Linked DNA regions of Caenorhabditis elegans. The protein of the gene in region 3 interacts with the protein of the main gene of each other region in a pairwise test. Each region holds a gene or a part of one and is shown on either strand. Other genes may lie near its edges.

Region 1 (7,742 bases), on a different chromosome or scaffold from region 3:
TCGAGAAATTAGCCGATTTTCTTTTGAAAAACTCAAAAAAGTTCAAAAAATTCCAATTTTAATTTTTGGAAAAGCCTAAAATTAAAAAATCGCAAAATTCAAGAAAAATGCCGGATATTTTTTTTTAGATCTGATATTTTATAGCAAAAATGTACAGAAAAAATACTCGAATTTTTCGAAAATTCCATAAAACCACTTTATTTTTCAGAATTGTCAAATTGTTTTATGATCGCAAAATGTTCAAAAAATTTTTTTTTTGAAAAGTTCCAAACTTTTTTTTTGCAAAATTTTGAAAATCCCAAAACATTTTTAAAATATTTATTTATATTTTCTGATATTTTAGAATTTTTTTCCAAAAAAACTAGAAAAATTAAAATAAAAAATTTTCGAATTTTTGAAAAAAAATGTTTAATAGATTTTTCTAATACTCTTTTTTAATTAAAAAAATTAATGAATTTTTTTGAATAATTTTTTCTTCAAAAATTTCTCAAATTTTCAAGACACCGCCTCCAAACTGCCAGCTTCACCTATCAAATCAGATTGCTCGTCTGGATTGTGGTAATATATCATATACACTTGTACATCAACACGCTAATCTTTTTCGTCAATGTAATGATATATCAGGTAATATTGACTGATATTAATTAAACAAAAATAACAAAAAAATGAAGAAAAAATAATTTAATTTATAGGTTAATTTTCAGAAGGATATCGTCGAAATTTATCGCGAAGTGGATCATTGTTGAATGAATTTAATTGCCATTGGTTTTTGACATTTCAGACATATTTATCGAGAGGAGAACTGGTACAGACGAGCTTTGTGTTGGGTGAGTTGAGTAGGAGAGAATTCTGAAAAAAATTGAATTTTAGCAAAAATCTTCACATTTTTCATTTTTTTTCCTACAAAAAAAAATTTAATAAACCATTTTTCCCCAGATGTTTAGAACAATTTCTGGAAAATTTTCGGATTAAAAAAATTCTGAATATTCAGATTTTTTCTTTTTCTCAAACATTCGTTTGAAAATTCATGGTAATTTGAAAAAACTTTTTTTCTTGATTTTTGGAAATTTTTTCAGAATTTCGGATTAAAATTATTTTTTGAAAATAAAAAATCCACAATTTCTATTGTTTTTCCTACAAAAAAAAATATTTTTCTTTTCAGATTTTTAGAAAAATTTCTGAATATTGTTCAGATATTTTTTAAAGAAAAAATCCTATCTAAAAATATTCAAATTTTTTTGGATTTTTTCCAGAAAATGTTCGACAAAAAAAAGAAATTTTAGAAATGACTACTTTTTTAATTTTCAATCTAATAATTGAATAAAAAAGGATTTTTTAAGATAAAAATTCGAAAAATGTTTGGTTTTTTTGTGAAAAAAATCAACGATTTCGAATTTGAACTTGAAATTGAACGAATTTGAACGAATCGAACGTATTTTTTCGAAAAAAAAATTCTGGATTTTTTCAAGGAAAAGAACTAAAAATTGATAATTTTTCTCGACTTTTAGTAAAAAAAAAATTTTTCCGTTTTTTTCAGTAAAAATCTACATTTTTCCGGAGCAATTCTGAAAAAAGTCGATGAAAACTCGGAAAAATTCAACTTTTCATGAAAAAAAGTCAAAAAATCGTAAAAACCCCATTTTTTCAATGTTTTGCCAATAAAATACCAACATTTTTTGATTTTCCACTGAAAAAATTAATTTTTTTTTCAAATTTGCTAAATTTCCAGACATTGTCGCCCTGCTGCTCGCCTTGATAGCCCCATTCTACGCAATTTTTGGCTATTTTTTCTCAAAAAATGCGAAAAAAGTGATACGAGCTCTGTCGATTTCAACAATTTCTTCATTTATTCCAGTCATTATTACAATGTTCATTATTCATTCAACAAATACTCAAGAACCAAAAAATGAAGAACAATTTTTATATTATACAGAAGCTGATTGGAGCCTATTTTGTGAAACTCTTGGATGCTTTTTGAGTGGGTTTTTTGACATTTTTTCGATGAAAAATTGAAGTTTAGAACGATTTTTAGAATAAATTTGTGTATTTTTCTGATTTTTACTGTTAAATTGTGTAAAATTTGAATCGAAATTTTTTTTACCTAAAATTTTGAAAACTACACAATTTTTACGAGAATTTAAAAAATTTCCATTTTTTAGCTGAAAACTCGAAAAAAAATTTTTTTTCAAACAACTGAAAATTTCAGATTTTTTCTGAAAAACTGAGTTTCTATGTAGAAATTAGATTTTTTTTTTAATTTTAAGAAAAACTGAATTTTAGAACGATTTTAAGGCTAAATTTCTGTAATTTTCTGAATTTTTTCCGATTTTTCCTACTAATTTAAGCACAATTTGAGCCAGAATCGAAATTTTTTTTACCTAAAATTTTGAAAACTACACAATTTTTACGAGAATTTAAAAAATTTCCATTTTTTAGCTGAAAACTCGAAAAAAAATTTTTTTTCAAACAACTGAAAATTTCAGATTTTTTCTGAAAAACTGAGTTTCTATGTAGAAATTAGATTTTTTTTTTAATTTTAAGAAAAACTGAATTTTAGAACGATTTTAAGGCTAAATTTCTGTAATTTTCTGAATTTTTTCCGATTTTTCCTACTAATTTAAGCACAATTTGAGCCAGAATCGAAATTTTTGTACCTAAAATTTTGAAAACTACACAATTTTCACCAGATTTCAAAAAAAATCGATGTTTTTAAAATTAAAAACCGAAATGTTCAATTTTTGCCTGAAAAACTGAATTTCTATGCAGAAATTGAATTTTTTTTTGATTTTCTCGTACGGAAACCAAATTTTAAAATTTTTTCATTGAAACAACTAAAAAATTCAAAAATTTCTACAAAAAAAACTGAAAGATTTCTTCGAAATATTATTTTTTTAATAATTTTCACTCAAAAATTGTAAAATTCAACTGAAAATTCGTTTTTTCAATTTGATCAGTTATGGCGACAAATTCAGAATCTTCAATTTGTTTCAAATTTATTTTCTAATTTTTTCTGAGAAAATCAAATGAAACCTTGATTTTTTTCGATTTTTTGTCAACAATTTAGGAAAAAAAACCTCGAATATTTCTCGAAATTCACATAATTAGCCAATTAATTTTCTTAAATTTCGCAAAAATCATCTGAAAATTGAATTTAAATTTGAATATCACTCTAAAAATTGCGGGAAATCGCAGAAAATCAATTTTTCCAAAGATTTTTATTCTTTTCCATTTTTTTTTTAATTTTAAATCCAATTTCAGTGGCTCTAACAACACACATCTGTATGGTAGAGCATCGTCACTCATTGGAGCGTCAGCTGAGCCAACGGCGTCGAAGACAACTGCATAATGCTCTAATGTCTTCCTGCAAACAGGATATTGCAATGGCGATTCGCGCAAGAATGACTGTTATTTAATAATTTTATTTTATGGGAAATTGCTTTAAAACATGCCTATGGTACAACAATAACCAAATATCATAGTAAAAAAATTCAAAAAATTATTTCAAATTTTTTAATGATTTTTTTTAATTGAAAAAATCTCAGTTTTTGACTTGACTTTCCTATTTGAATTTCCGCCAATATTTCATTTTTTTTTCTTAATTTTCACCGATTTTCTAAGTTTTCAGTGTATTTTTACAAGAAATTCGAAGAAAAAGTCAAAACAGATGCAAATTTTTGGTTTAAAAGCTACTTTAAAAGCGTAAATCCGTGAAATTAATCAATTCAGGTTCGAAATCGCATAAATGCGTTTTTTAAATTTTTTTTTTTTACCAAAAACTAGAAGATTTCTTCAAAAAATTGGGTTTTTTCCAATTTTATCACTTTTGGCGATAATTTTTTTAAAGAATCCTCAATAATTTTTTCCAAATTTTCTAGCTCTTTTACGTTCAAAAAATCAACTGAAAAAATTATGTTTTTTTTCTTAAAATTTTACTCGAAATTCTCATAATTTGCTAATTATTTTTCCTAAATTTCGCGCGAAAATCATCTGAAAATTGAATTAAAAATGCTTTTTAATCGAAAATTTAATTTATTTTGACTTTTTCTTCAAATTCCATGTAAAAATACACTGAAAACTTGGAAAATCGGTGAAAAATAAGGCAAAATAACAATAAATAAATAATAAAACGGAAATTCAAATCGGAATTTGGCAAAAACTGAGATTTTTTCAATTTAAAAAAAATCATATAAATTTTAGAAATTTTTTTTGAATTTTTTTATCATGATATTCGGTCATTGAGGCACTGGCGCTACACCACCTTTAATAAATACGACTTTTTTATTCATTTTTTTTCCTCAAAATTGAGCTTAAACCCACCCAAAATCCCCCCTAAAACTCCATTGGCTCATCGGCGGCTCTTTTTCTTTTCTCCGCATCGCCTAATTCTTCTTTTTCCTTCTTTCTCTTCTTATCCTTCTTCTTTTTCTTGTGTTTCTTCGGAAATCCTTTCTCCGTCTCATCATCATCAAATCCATATGCGTCGTATTGTTGCCGAACCCGTATTAAATTCAATTTCTCGCTGTACGCCAGATTTGGTTCCTCTTTTCGGCGCTCGAATAGGTGGCGATATCTGGAAAAATTTAATTTTAATTAATTAATCTTATTTTGTGGAATTTTTATCGATTTCGCGCAAAAAATGACAAAAAGAAGTTAAAAATGCCTCCCGTAAATCTACAAAATTAAAGGCGCATGGTCTCTTGCGCTGGTTGGGTCTCACAACGATCACTACAAAAATGCAAGAATTTGTCTGAAAAATAGCGGAAAAATTATTTAAAAGTTTAAAATGTTGGTGTTGACCTGTAAAATTGAATATTTAATCTTATTTTGTGGAATTTTCATCGATTTCGTGCAAAAATTGGACCAAAAACTATTAAAACCGTTGGGTCTCGCAGCGATTTCTACAAAAATAGGAGAATTAATTAAAAAATTTCGGACATTTGATTAAAACGTTCGAAATAGTGGCGATAAGCTTATTTTGTCGAAACTTCACCGTTTTCGTTCAAAAATTGGGCTAAAACTGTTAAAAAATTATTTCCGTAAATCTACAAAATTAAAGGCGCATGGTCTCTATTGATTGTTGAGTCTCGCAACGATCACTACAAAAATGCCAGAATTAATTCAAAAATTTGCGGAAATTGAATTAAAATGTTCGAAAGAGTGGCGCTGTGCTTATTCAGTTGAATTTCCACCGTTTTTGTGCAAAAATTGGCCTAAAACTATTTAAAATGCCACCAGTAAATCTACAAAAATTAAAGGTGCATGGTCCCTATCGTCCGTTGGGTCTCGCAGCGATTTCTACAAAAATGGGAGAAATGTTTAAAAATAGCGAAATTCCGCAATATTTTGCGGAAAACATCAAAATTAATGGGAAATTTCAATTTTAAATCAGAAAAATCTAGAACATCGTCGAATTTGCACCTTTCATCGACGGGCCCAGCAGAAAGCTTGAATCCCTGCATCGAAGAGCTCGTCAAATTCGAAATTTCCTTGTGAATCGGCGGTTTTTCGATGAGAGCTCGCAGTGAGCTCGCCTCTTTCGTCGCGTCCAAGTGAAATTCGCCGATTATATGCGGCAAAAACGAGGAGATTTTCTCCTTAACTCGTCTGCTACCACTGAATCCTCCCTCAACAGGCCCGAGCTCGTACGACATGAGAAGATCGTGATTTCCCTGAATTTCGCTGTACGCTGGAATAAAAAATTGGGTTTTGAGCAGATTTTTGAAGAAACTCACGTGGAAGTAGAGCTTTTAATGTGTAAAATGGCTCGTTTTTCGAGCTTTTGCTCTTTACGGGCGGCCCCGAGCAGGCCGATGGCTCGTTCATGCCTGAAATTGTAATTTTAAGCCGGGAGATTTTTAAAATTCAATTAATTTAATTGAAAGAGGGAAAATATTGAAAAAAAAGTGGGATTTTTCCAGCAAAATCCTAGAATTTGAGTGAAAAAGTAAGCTTTTTTTTGGTTTGAAGTTTGTTTTGAAACATTTTTGAGTCAATTTCGCCTAATTTTTGGGGTTTCAGCGGTAAAAAAAAACTTTTTTTTTCAGTTCTAAAGACTAAAAAAGTACAGATTTAGGCCTTTTTTTAAATTTTTTGTTTGAAACTAGATTCGAAACAAGTCATTTTTCGCAATATTCGGCTAATTTCAGTAGTTTCAGAGATTATAAGTCTGCAAAGTTGAAGATGACCACAGGGATTTCAAAAATATTCCAGAAAACTGGAATGTTTCTGGAAAAAAAAAATCGAAAAACTATATAAAAAGTGAAAAAAGGTCAGAAATTCGTTTTTTTTTTTAACTTTTCTTTTGCTTTAATTTGCGCGGGAATTCAAAAATAACTTGGAAAATGCAATATTTCGGAAAAAATTAGCCAGAAACATGAAAATTGGTGTAACGAACAAATTGTGGATAATTTTTGGTCAAAATAGTAAATTTTTAATAACAATAATTCATATTTTATCAACTTTATGCGAAAAATGTATCAAAAAACCAGATTCATCAACGATTTCTTTCAAAAAAACATTAAAAAACGTTTAAAATCGAGAAATTAAAATAAAAATAAAATAAATCCAAAAACGCGCAAAGGCTCCCCACTGACGCGTTTCCCCGATTTGCTTGCGCACTTTCCGTGGCCACTTTTATCCCTTTTTCTCTGTCCTTCTCTCTCCCTTTTCGGCAATATTTGGAGGTTTTGCGGGACGGAAATCTTTGCGCACACGGCAACTTATCGATTTTTCATTCTTTTCCGCCCAAAATTCTGCATCTCCGCCAACTTCTGCGGCTCCAATTTCCTTGAAACCTCGATTTTATTACGAAAATTTGAATTTTTACCCTTTTTCACATTTATCTTTCAGGGGTATCACAAGATGACCGACTCCAAATATTTCACCACCACAAAGAAAGGTATTTTTATATCGTTTTCAATGAATTTAACTCAAATTTCCAATTTTTATTGCAGGAGAAATATTCGAACTGAAAAATGAGCTCAACTCTGACAAAAAGGAGAAGAAAAAAGAGGCTGTGAAGAAGGTTATCGCCAGTATGACAGTCGGAAAAGACGTCAGCGCTCTATTTCCCGATGTGGTGAATTGTATGCAGACGGATAATGTTGAATTGAAGAAATTAGTCTATCTGTATTTGATGAATTACGCGAAATCGCAGCCTGATCTCGCGATTATGGCGGTTAACACGTTTGTTAAGGTAGGGGAGACAGCTTGAGAAGGTTCAAAAGTAGAAAATTGGCTCAAAAAGTTGTAAAAATTGCTCGAAAAGCTGAAAATTCGCTCAAAAAGCTGAAAATTTTGCTCAAACGCTGAAAATTTGCTCAAATGCTGAAAATTCGCTCCAAAAGCTGAAATTTTGCTTAAATATATAAGAAATTCGCCCAAAAGCTGCAAACACTCCCGCGCGAATTGTCTTTGTTTTTTCTCATTTAAAACTTGAAAATAAAATTATTTTAAATTTAAAAATACCATTATTATCCCAGACGTTTCAGATTTCCCGGCAAAATTCTCCGAATTTTCGTAAAACCGGGGAAAAATTATAAAAATGGCATTTTTCCGGGGAAAAGCAAGAACAAACCAGATTTTTTCAGCTTTTTTCGGTCGTTTTTCGGAAATTTTTAATAATTTTGCACTTTTTTCAGGACTGTGAAGATCCAAATCTTGAGAAAATAGTGGAAATTTTCCCCAAAAAGCTGTTAAATTTGCAGAGGAGCAACTTTTTATCACTTTTGAGAGGAAAATTA
Region 2 (4,706 bases), on a different chromosome or scaffold from region 3:
CTTATGAAGATAGACTTAGCATAATGAAACTCTTCTCCACCAGACACACTAGAATTAAAGCTCAAATGAAACTACTCTATAGATTCCTCACTGGATCCTCCCACTTCCCTAGGCTTAATCAATTTGTCTCATTCGCTAGCTCTAATAGGCACCCTATGATTCTCGTTAGAAAGGACAGTTGCACCGCTCACTTTTTTGCCCAGTCAGTTCCCATTTGGAATAATCTTTTCAAAAACGTACCGGTTTTCCTCTCTCCTTTCCAATTTTCTCACTTTCTCGATCTTCACATTCCCCGGTATTGAAACTATGTGATCTCGAGTCCGTTTTCTTTTCTTTATAATTCTTTATTCTCTATTCTTCTTTTTTTTTCTGTTTTTTAATTCTTACCTCGCCCATTTCCCACACTCGAGATGAACTCTTGCTGGGTTTGTCTCGTTTTATAAATTTATTTTCTCATTAAACCTTAAATTGTACTACCTTTCAATGTATTACCTTTTGGCTCTTAATGTTGAAAATAAATCAAATCAAATCAAATCAAAGGAAAATTCCAAGCTTTATTCAAATTTTGCCAAATTTTCAAAAACCTTTAGTTCTCGTCCATTAACCAGAAAAAAAAATTTTACTGGAAAAAATATAAATAAGTAGAAATAAAAATGAAGTTTTGAAAAAAATCACGAAATTTTTTATCTCACTAATTACTCTAGAATTGGTCGAAAAGCTGATTAGAAATGGTTTTTTTTACTAATTAGACGTGGTTCCATGTTATTTGAGAATCTAATACAAAAATAAATCCAATAGTTACAAAAATTCTAACTACACTTCAGGCAAAAGGAAAACTTATGTGTGAAGGAAGGCCTGCATCGGGAGTGAAAGTCAAATTAATGGAATCTGACAGTATGTGAAAAGCTTCTGAAAATGAATTTTCTATTTACCTGTCTATTTTCAGATAGTTTCCTGCCGGGATTTCTTGACAGAGATGATAAGATGGCATCAGGAAAGGCTGACTCAAATGGAGAATTCAATTTGAGTGGATCTACCAAGGAAATCACCGGAATCGAGCCATATTTGGCTGTTTTCCATGATTGTAAGGACGGAATTACGGTGAGTTTAGAATTTTTTATTCTAATAAAAAAATTCCTATAGTAATTTTCAGCCGTGCCAAAGAGTCCTCCGCATCAATATTCCAAAATCTTACGCCAACTGGGGAAGTTCTGCAGAGAAAACATTTAATGCTGGAAATCTCGAACTTGCTGGAAAGTTTCCAGGAGAAACTAGAAGTTGTTTCAATTGATTGGTATATTATAAATGCTTTTTGAAAAAAAATTGAGAAGTAGTTATGAAAAATAATAAAATAACTATTTACAAATTTTCTATTAAACTGGAACGTATTTTATTCAGTCGAGTTGCCATTATTGCCATTAGAAAAATATATAGGATCCGAGAAAATAAAGAGAATTGGAAACTGAAAAAAAACACACCAGTGATTTCTGATCCGGAGGGTGGCATTTTGATAAAATCTGTACTTCAATATGCGTAAGGATTTTCAGAGAGGCAGGTACCTGGTGCATAGGTAGAAAGGCAGTTATGATGCAGCTACATCTGGCACGCACCCAAAAATATTTTAGTAGTTTTTACAGCCCTAAATGATACTTTAGCATATTCAATTCAATCAAATATGTATTTCACATTTTTCACTTTTACAATTTTCGAAAGGTACATTTAATTATATATATAACAAACACCAACCGAATTCTGAAAAGTCAATTTGAAATAATCAGCATATTAATTAATATAGCTACGAAGAATATATGTTGTTGATGCAGCACATCTTTGATTTTCCCGCATCTGAAAATAATCTATTAGAGGAACCTTCAAAAACACTGGATCCGCATTGGAATGATATCAGTTTTTGATCAAGACTTTCTGAGCAGAAGTAAGATGCGTTAAGAGTTGGAGTCAGAACTCACAGAGAATCAATCATGGAACAACTGTGGATTCTTCATAAGTTCGGCAAATGCCAATTCGAGTTCTTCAGCATTCAACTGAACATTGATATCCATTAATGGTTGTTGGCTTTGATTTTGCCTATTTGTCTCAGTTTCTTGGTTGGTTCTGTGATAAAAATTTTTATATATGGTTTAATGTTATATTCTTACCTTGACTGATGTCCACCTTCACCAACTGACATTGCCGAAGATCCAATTTGATGAATTACTTCACCATCTGCACTTCCATAAGAATTTCCGTTGGCGCCTATCAGACTGATCACATCGGGCACTGTAAACTTACAATTATTCAAAAATGTTCTGAGGTAGAATAAAACTTACATGAAAATTGTAATGGAGTATCTTGTATCCCTTTGAGTGGTTTGCAGACCGGGCAATCTTCCCTCGAGCAGTCTTTCCAGTGAGCTATTATTTGGCGAGACGATGCACAATGAGCGACTGAACATTTTTTTAGTTTGTGAGGTATCGGCGGAAACAGTGACTAGAGTGTGAAGCGAAATTTTTGGTGGAAATAGGCGCTTGTTCTTGCGAAAATGTTCGAAACTCTTTCCAGCTCGTAATAGACTTACAATGACATAAACGACCAACATTGCAGTTTGTCATGTGAATCAATACTTCCTTCATAGTTGAGCAATGGGGTAATGTACATGCAGCATGTGGAAGTAGTTGATTCCTGGCAGCAAACTCATTATTTTCCTGAAACAACTGGTGATGAATGAAGGAAATCAGAACATATTGCAAAACATACCTTCTCACGTTGAGAACATTTGTGTGCATGGAGTAAAAGAACAAATTGTTGCTGAATAAGCTTCCGCTTCACGGGATCTTGATGCAGTGCAAGCATGGTTATCCAAAAGTTGTTGCCGTCCAGAGATGATGTTACGGCTTTTTGTTCTAAACAGATGTTATCATACAGTTTCGGTCATCATTTTTTCTAAAAACAAGTTTGGTTGATAACTTTAATTGTGCTTATCTGTTCTTATTTTAAAAATTTCTTAAAACACGTAGAAAAAATTGTTTTTTGATAAAATATTTTAGTGATAGTCAAAAACTAACAATTTTATACGACAAAAAATTATAAGGTTGAAAATGCAAAAACCAGTGATTTCATAAACTGATATTTGCTTGATCCAAAAATGAACAAAGTTATACAAAACCTAAAGAAAAACTCCATACAAAAGGTGTTAAAATTGGGTAATTTCAGGCTTATGGTTTGCCTGAAAAATTTTCAAAACGGCAAAATCTGAATGAAATTGAATAAAAATCATTTAGAAGAGATCTAAATAGTTATCCATTTTAGATTGTAACAAATGAGAGAACTGACGAATATTGCATCACAATTTGGTTTTGAATATCATTCGTTGATTTGTACATTTTTAACTCATTTATAAAATATAGGAAAGAAAGGAAAAATTATACACAAAAAGCAATGTTTTGTAAGAAATGTATTACAAGTCGCTAAAAGTTTTGCTCTGAATCACTTGTTTTAAGAATGAGCAAAAGCGAAATGAAATGAAAGAGTGGATGTTATCAGTAAATAGCATGTGATACACTGCGATTGTGAAATCGGAAAGTAACCGAAATGATAATTATCGTTTTTGCTGGTGACGCCATTGATGTACTGTGTTACTATTTCAACATAGTGAAACACTATGTTGAGTGTGAAAATTTATAAAAACTCGGTGCGTATATGGACTATTAATTAAATGTTGCACTTTATTCTGCCAAATTTATTTACAGTACAAAGACGCAACATCACTTATGCATGCAGAGAATGAGAACAAAAGCAGCTCTTCAAAATTGCACTGGATTCTTGTAGACATCGCATGGAGCTCGAAGCATCAGTGGCTTTCTGGTGATGTGGCAGACACTATTAGATGCAAACGTCGTGTTGTAAACTGCCAGCAGAGCAATGAGAAAAACAACTGAAAAAGTGATCATTAGTATGAAAACCAGAAAACGTAACGAACGTCTTTTCACATAGATTGAACACAATATTCTCAAGTTTCTATTAAAGTATGTTTTATGACACATTTATCCAAATTCCTTTGAAAAAGTAAAAATATTTTATTATCAACAAATATAAAGCTATTTTTGCACGAATAAAAGTTAAGAGACACGATAAGTTATTTCATGAACTTGAAGTTTTTTGGCATTGATAACAACTTTTCAATTCGCTGTTTTCCCCGTGATTACATTTTTTCTCTATTTGTGATGGGCATTCTCGGTAATAATGTCCACGGAATCCACATTTGAAACATGCTTTAGGTTGTTCTTCAGGGCAATCACGAGACATATGACCAAGTTTGTGGCAGTTGTAGCATATACCTGTAAGAAACAAGTAACTTAATTATTATGCCATATAAAGTTTAAACTTTGTTCCAAATTGTGCATGCTTGAGGTTTCAGAACTGTCAGTGGGTTCTTGAAATTTACAGCAATTGTTATGGGGCATGACTGAAAATTCGGAATATTGATAGTGAGTCACAAATATTTACAGGTAAAGTAGCTCTAACTAAATAATACGGTAAAACTTTTCAAAATTAATTTTTAAAAATTTTGGCATTAATAAGTGACTGAACATTTTTGGCAGTTTGCCAAAACTTTTACTGTGAATTTTCACATTTCTGGAAAATGTAAAAATTCTTTATTAATAATAAATATAATACTATTTTCTAGCAAATGAAAAGTTATCTGTTTA
Region 3 (4,572 bases):
TAAACCATTTTCTGTAAATTAATTATTCTCAAATCCAGTCAATTTGAAAAACGGGATATGGATACCATTTCGAGTCGAACTATCTTTCACAAGCCCCGCTGCACAATTTTTATTCAGTCTTTCATTTTTCAAAAGAATTCACCCAAAACTTTAGGAACTATTAGAAAAAGAAAAATATGTACGGCTCTTGCGGGCCAGCCTAAATTATATATTTATTGACTTTTCATTTTCTTTTCTTGATTCAAGTCAATAAACAATACAATATGCATTTCGGGGTTGGCAACTGTGCTCAGACTCCGTGGTGTTGCCAGTTTTCCCGAAGAAGTATCTCTGTTGCACCATACTGTGCGTACAAGTTCTACACGCCACCCCCTTGAGCCTGTGGCCACGTCTGTATTAAAAAAAAATTTTGCTGATGCCATTCAATTCCAAGTCCTAATTACCCATGAGCCTAAATTTTCATGACATTACCTCAAAAATTAAAAAAAATGAGGTCAATAAATCAAAAAATTGGCTGTACAAGTTGTATACGCCACCTTTATTTTTTGGTAGTTTTTCAAAACTTTCAATTTTAGAGAGGCAGTGACCATCAAACAATCCGAGTGAATATCAGTGCAGAATAGCTGTTCCTAACGTAAGACCGTAAGACCTGAAACATGGATTTCGGCTCCCACGTGAGATTTAAATTCAGAATCGTGAGGATTGAATAAATAAAGTCAAAGTTCATAAACACAGACTTTATTTGCAAATGAAACGAAAGTTATGAGGTCTGGAGCGTCATAGTGGTACGACAAGCTGGGCATGTGGGATTGATGCAGGTCCATTGTTGAAGACACTGAAGTTTCTATTTTTAGTTGGAAAATCCGAAAAAGCAAGACACCTACTCTTTCATGAAACTTTTTGCGACACGTTGTGCATTTTGGAAAACGCATCTCCTCCTTACATATGGCACATTCGGTATCTTGCAGCTCATTTTCTACATGCGTCGGCGTCGGTTGCAGGTTTCGATTAACTGATTCTTCGTTTGACGACAGTGCAGCACTTATCATTGCCAAGGTGTTCACTTGCGCCGTGTTCTCGTTATAAAGCAGTTTCAACGTTGAATTTTCTTCTCTCAGCTGTCTGTTTTCGTTAGAGAGATTTGAGATAGTAACAACTTGTTGAGCTCCTGTTACAGACAATCTGAAAAGAATTGGTTTTGAAAAATCAACACAAAACAAGTTATGCTCACTTTTCCACTTCTTGTCGCCACACATTTTCCTGCACTTTCCTGACTTCCGCCAATCTATTTTCATTTCTCATATCTGATTCGTTGTTTTTTGATAACTGATTTGAGTTTTGTTGTTCCTCTTTCAATTGGGTCACCTTTTCATTTAATTTATTGATTTCCTTTTTTTGGTTTTCAATTTTTGTTTTAGCATCACTGAGTTTGCTAAAAAAAATTTCACATCGGGAGTAAGCGACAACTGGCGATTTTGATTAATATGTGTTGTTTTTATAAGAAAATTATATATACATAGGTTTGAGAAAATTGTTGCTAGAGTTTTACACTAAATTACATGTGTTATGAAAATTTTCAGCAATCGGCAATTGCCAAAATACCTTTAGAACTATTTGCATTTTTTTGAAGCTGACATATTCCATCACATTTCAATTAGGTTTAAAAAAATCGTAACTTTTTTTAGACTTAACGATGATGTTTTCTACTCTGCGGTTGCAATGAAACTGTATGACTTGACGAAATTGTCATTTGGTATTTCTCTACATAAAGCCTTTTGCCATTCAAAGTAAAGTTGCGTTAGAGGGAAAGCTGCTTAAAATCATATAGAACTTTTTAAACTTATACTTCAACAATTTTCTTAAATACACAAACATTTTCTTAAGAACACAAACATTTTCAATTACATTTTTTTTCAATTTTTCAAAATATATTTTGGCTGTTCAACAATACATATATGTATTCTATTTCCTCTATTAGTCTTGCAGCCTCTATTAGTATTGCAGTCTCTGACAGTCTTGCACATCTATTTTTGCCTTGCCAGTAATAGAATGAGGAAGCTACAACAAATTTGAGATTTTTTGGGTAAAATGAACTCAAAAGTGTTCAAATAGCAAATGAAATATTGGAATTTTTTTTCATGGTTTGAACGGAACAAAGTCATGTTTTTGAACGGAAATTTACAATCTGTCCAAAGTTATGGGGCATTAGAAAATTTGTCTTGCAGTCTCCTATAGTCTTGCACCTCTACAGTCAATCGAAAATGAGTCTTGCATGCAAGACTAATAGAGAATACTGTAGATGTGTTCTTACATTTATATGGCATTTTTCATCTTTTCATAGTTTTTGAATTGTAAAAAAAAATTTGGTTTAGAACTGCGAAAAAAATGACCCACCTTTCATATTCTAGGCTCCACATGTTTTCTGTGACATTCGGTGTTTTTGGTGAGTTTTTCTCTGATAATTGAGTTTCCAAGTTTTGCTTTTCCATTTTCAATTTTTGAATTGCTCCATGCAACTGAGTGATCGATTTCTTCTGGTTTTCAACTTTCAAATTTGCCTCATTGTACTTTCTGAAAATTGGTATTTGACATAACTTTTTTTCCAAACTAGAAATCAAAACTTATATCTGAAAACTTACTGTATCAATGCTTTTTGTGTATAATTCTGATTAACCAAATTGTTTTGCAACGAAGAAACCTGCGAAATCGCTGAAGGGTTATCTGGGTAGCTCATTCTGAAAAGTAGTAAATATAAAATTAAAATCAATTTCACTAATAGGAAAAGAGAAATGGGGTATGTTTTACTATGTATACAGGCGCACAGCAACTGATAAAAATGTGTTGCTGTATTGACAAACCGTTATCATTTTTCTTTAGCTGATTCACTCTACATTATTTTCGGTCTCTTGAAACAAAAGTAGTTGGCGAAATGGTGAAAATATTGTTTATTGTAGCCAAGAAACACAGCAACCGACACCTCACGAGTTTATTTTTACCAACTTCTATTCAAGCATAACAACAGTTCAATTGTGTCAGTTACATTTATTTGAAAACTGTGTAAAATGAACAAAAAAAATGCATACATTTCTGGTCACTACTGTATATAATCTTTAGCGTGGCAAAACCAATCGCGGCTTAACCCGATCAAGGGTGTCGGTTTTGGAAATCGAAAACATTGAAAAATTGGCTGTCACGACCGAACTAATTTTTTGGTTATTAGAACATTTTCTTTGTTGTACGTCTGGTTGACTAATTGTTGCATTACAAGTTGTTTTGAATCGAGATAATGGACAGGGTTCCCAAAAGTTGAGCTGGAAGTTGGAAAATCGAAAAGTCAAAAAATCAACAAACAAAATCGTTTTTAAATCGTTCCATAAAAAATGCTTGGGTCGGTATTTTGAGTTAAAACATTTTGAAATGGAACAATCAATGACCCAGGTGTTCAATAAAAAATAAATTTAGATTATCAGCTGAATAGTTCAGTTTTGGCAAACAATTTTTTTTGAAACCGACACCCGCGAACCCGATATATCCATTTGAAGTTTCATTTCTATGGTGCAGAGAAAGAACAAGAACACGTTTTGTTCCTCACGGAAAGCGGGTAGAAATATTATTCAATTCTTCTTTATTCTGCGATAACATGCAGCCGTTCGCTGTAACTAGTATTCTAATGCTAATTAATTTCAGATTTGCAACTTTATGTTTAAACTTATACTTATTGTTTGCGATTTTTTGTTTGAAACGAATTACCTACAGACATGAGCTGTCACTTATTTATTGTAAGTTCGCGATTGATATAATGTTTCGTTTAATTGGCAAGTTTGGCCAATGGCATGGAAAATTTACAACACTGACGGCATCGAATTGTTAAAAATAGCTTCAAAATGTGTTTGCGAATTCGTATAGAGTTTATTATCAACACTTCTATTTCTGCGATTATTCATTTGCAAATTATTCTTGAAATCTCAAACTCATACCTGGTCTTTTGGTTTATCAAGAGTAAGGAAATCACGGCGTTATAAATTCACATTTTTATATTTTCAGGCAACACAATTAGCCTTTCTGGAGTCTGCAATTGTTATCGTTTCCAATATTTTTCCATTGTTTATTTACGCTCAATTTTCAGCGATCAACTTTCAGACATGTGGCCCGATTACTACAGTATTGAAGTTTTTTGGATACGTTATAGAAGCATTGATAATTTATAACATTTTTGCGGGAGAAGGTCAAGTCAATTACAAATGTGTTTCCGTTATCTTGAATATTCATTTTTTAAACTCATTTGATTATATGTCATTTTTGAAAAATGACTCAAACAACTTCTGCCAACAAAACAAAAAAAAAATTTCCAATATGCCTTGTTGAACCTAGAAATTATTTTCTTTTCAGTTTTTTTAAAATTATTTTCTTTTTTTTTCTTTTCTTTATAATATTTTCTTTTCAGGCTCGTTGAGCATTCACTGTTGCGAAAAAGTTGCAGGCAAAATTTCGATACATATGTAGGTGAAGTTTACTTAATGTAAAAACATATTCACGTGGTGTCAGGCTGTCCCATCGCTACACTGCACACAA

The links.
Region 1: the proteins of F57C12.2 (region 3) and mdt-19 interact in a two-hybrid assay, tested with the Caenorhabditis elegans proteins (one large-scale study listed by BioGRID).
Region 2: the proteins of F57C12.2 (region 3) and cbp-3 interact in a two-hybrid assay, tested with the Caenorhabditis elegans proteins (one large-scale study listed by BioGRID).

What each region holds. Positions count from the first base shown.
Region 1 is NC_003281.10:2,596,142-2,603,883, reverse strand, and holds mdt-19 (Mediator of RNA polymerase II transcription subunit 19), read right to left. Parts: upstream 5,832-7,742; 5' UTR 5,824-5,831; coding exon 5,733-5,823; intron 5,687-5,732; coding exon 5,419-5,686; intron 4,827-5,418; exon of another isoform or gene 4,716-4,826; intron 4,571-4,715; coding exon 4,330-4,570; 3' UTR 4,318-4,329; intron 850-4,317; 3' UTR 672-849; downstream 1-671. Other genes in the region: apb-1 (AP complex subunit beta), read left to right, coding at 6,862-6,898, 6,954-7,195.
Region 2 is NC_003281.10:9,912,775-9,917,480, reverse strand, and holds cbp-3 (histone acetyltransferase), read right to left. Parts: upstream 2,941-4,706; 5' UTR 2,851-2,940; coding exon 2,755-2,850; intron 2,703-2,754; coding exon 2,576-2,702; intron 2,445-2,575; coding exon 2,328-2,444; intron 2,278-2,327; coding exon 2,157-2,277; intron 2,113-2,156; coding exon 1,974-2,112; 3' UTR 1,292-1,973; coding exon of another isoform or gene 1,154-1,291; 3' UTR 1,102-1,153; coding exon of another isoform or gene 947-1,101; 3' UTR 895-946; coding exon of another isoform or gene 824-894; 3' UTR 532-823; downstream 1-531. Other genes in the region: F40F12.9 (CCHC-type domain-containing protein), read right to left, coding at 3,801-3,931, 4,203-4,334, 4,382-4,460.
Region 3 is NC_003284.9:548,634-553,205, forward strand, and holds F57C12.2 (RING-type domain-containing protein), read right to left. Parts: upstream 2,760-4,572; 5' UTR 2,735-2,759; coding exon 2,640-2,734; intron 2,572-2,639; coding exon 2,395-2,571; intron 1,433-2,394; coding exon 1,232-1,432; intron 1,183-1,231; coding exon 885-1,182; intron 836-884; coding exon 761-835; 3' UTR 722-760; downstream 1-721.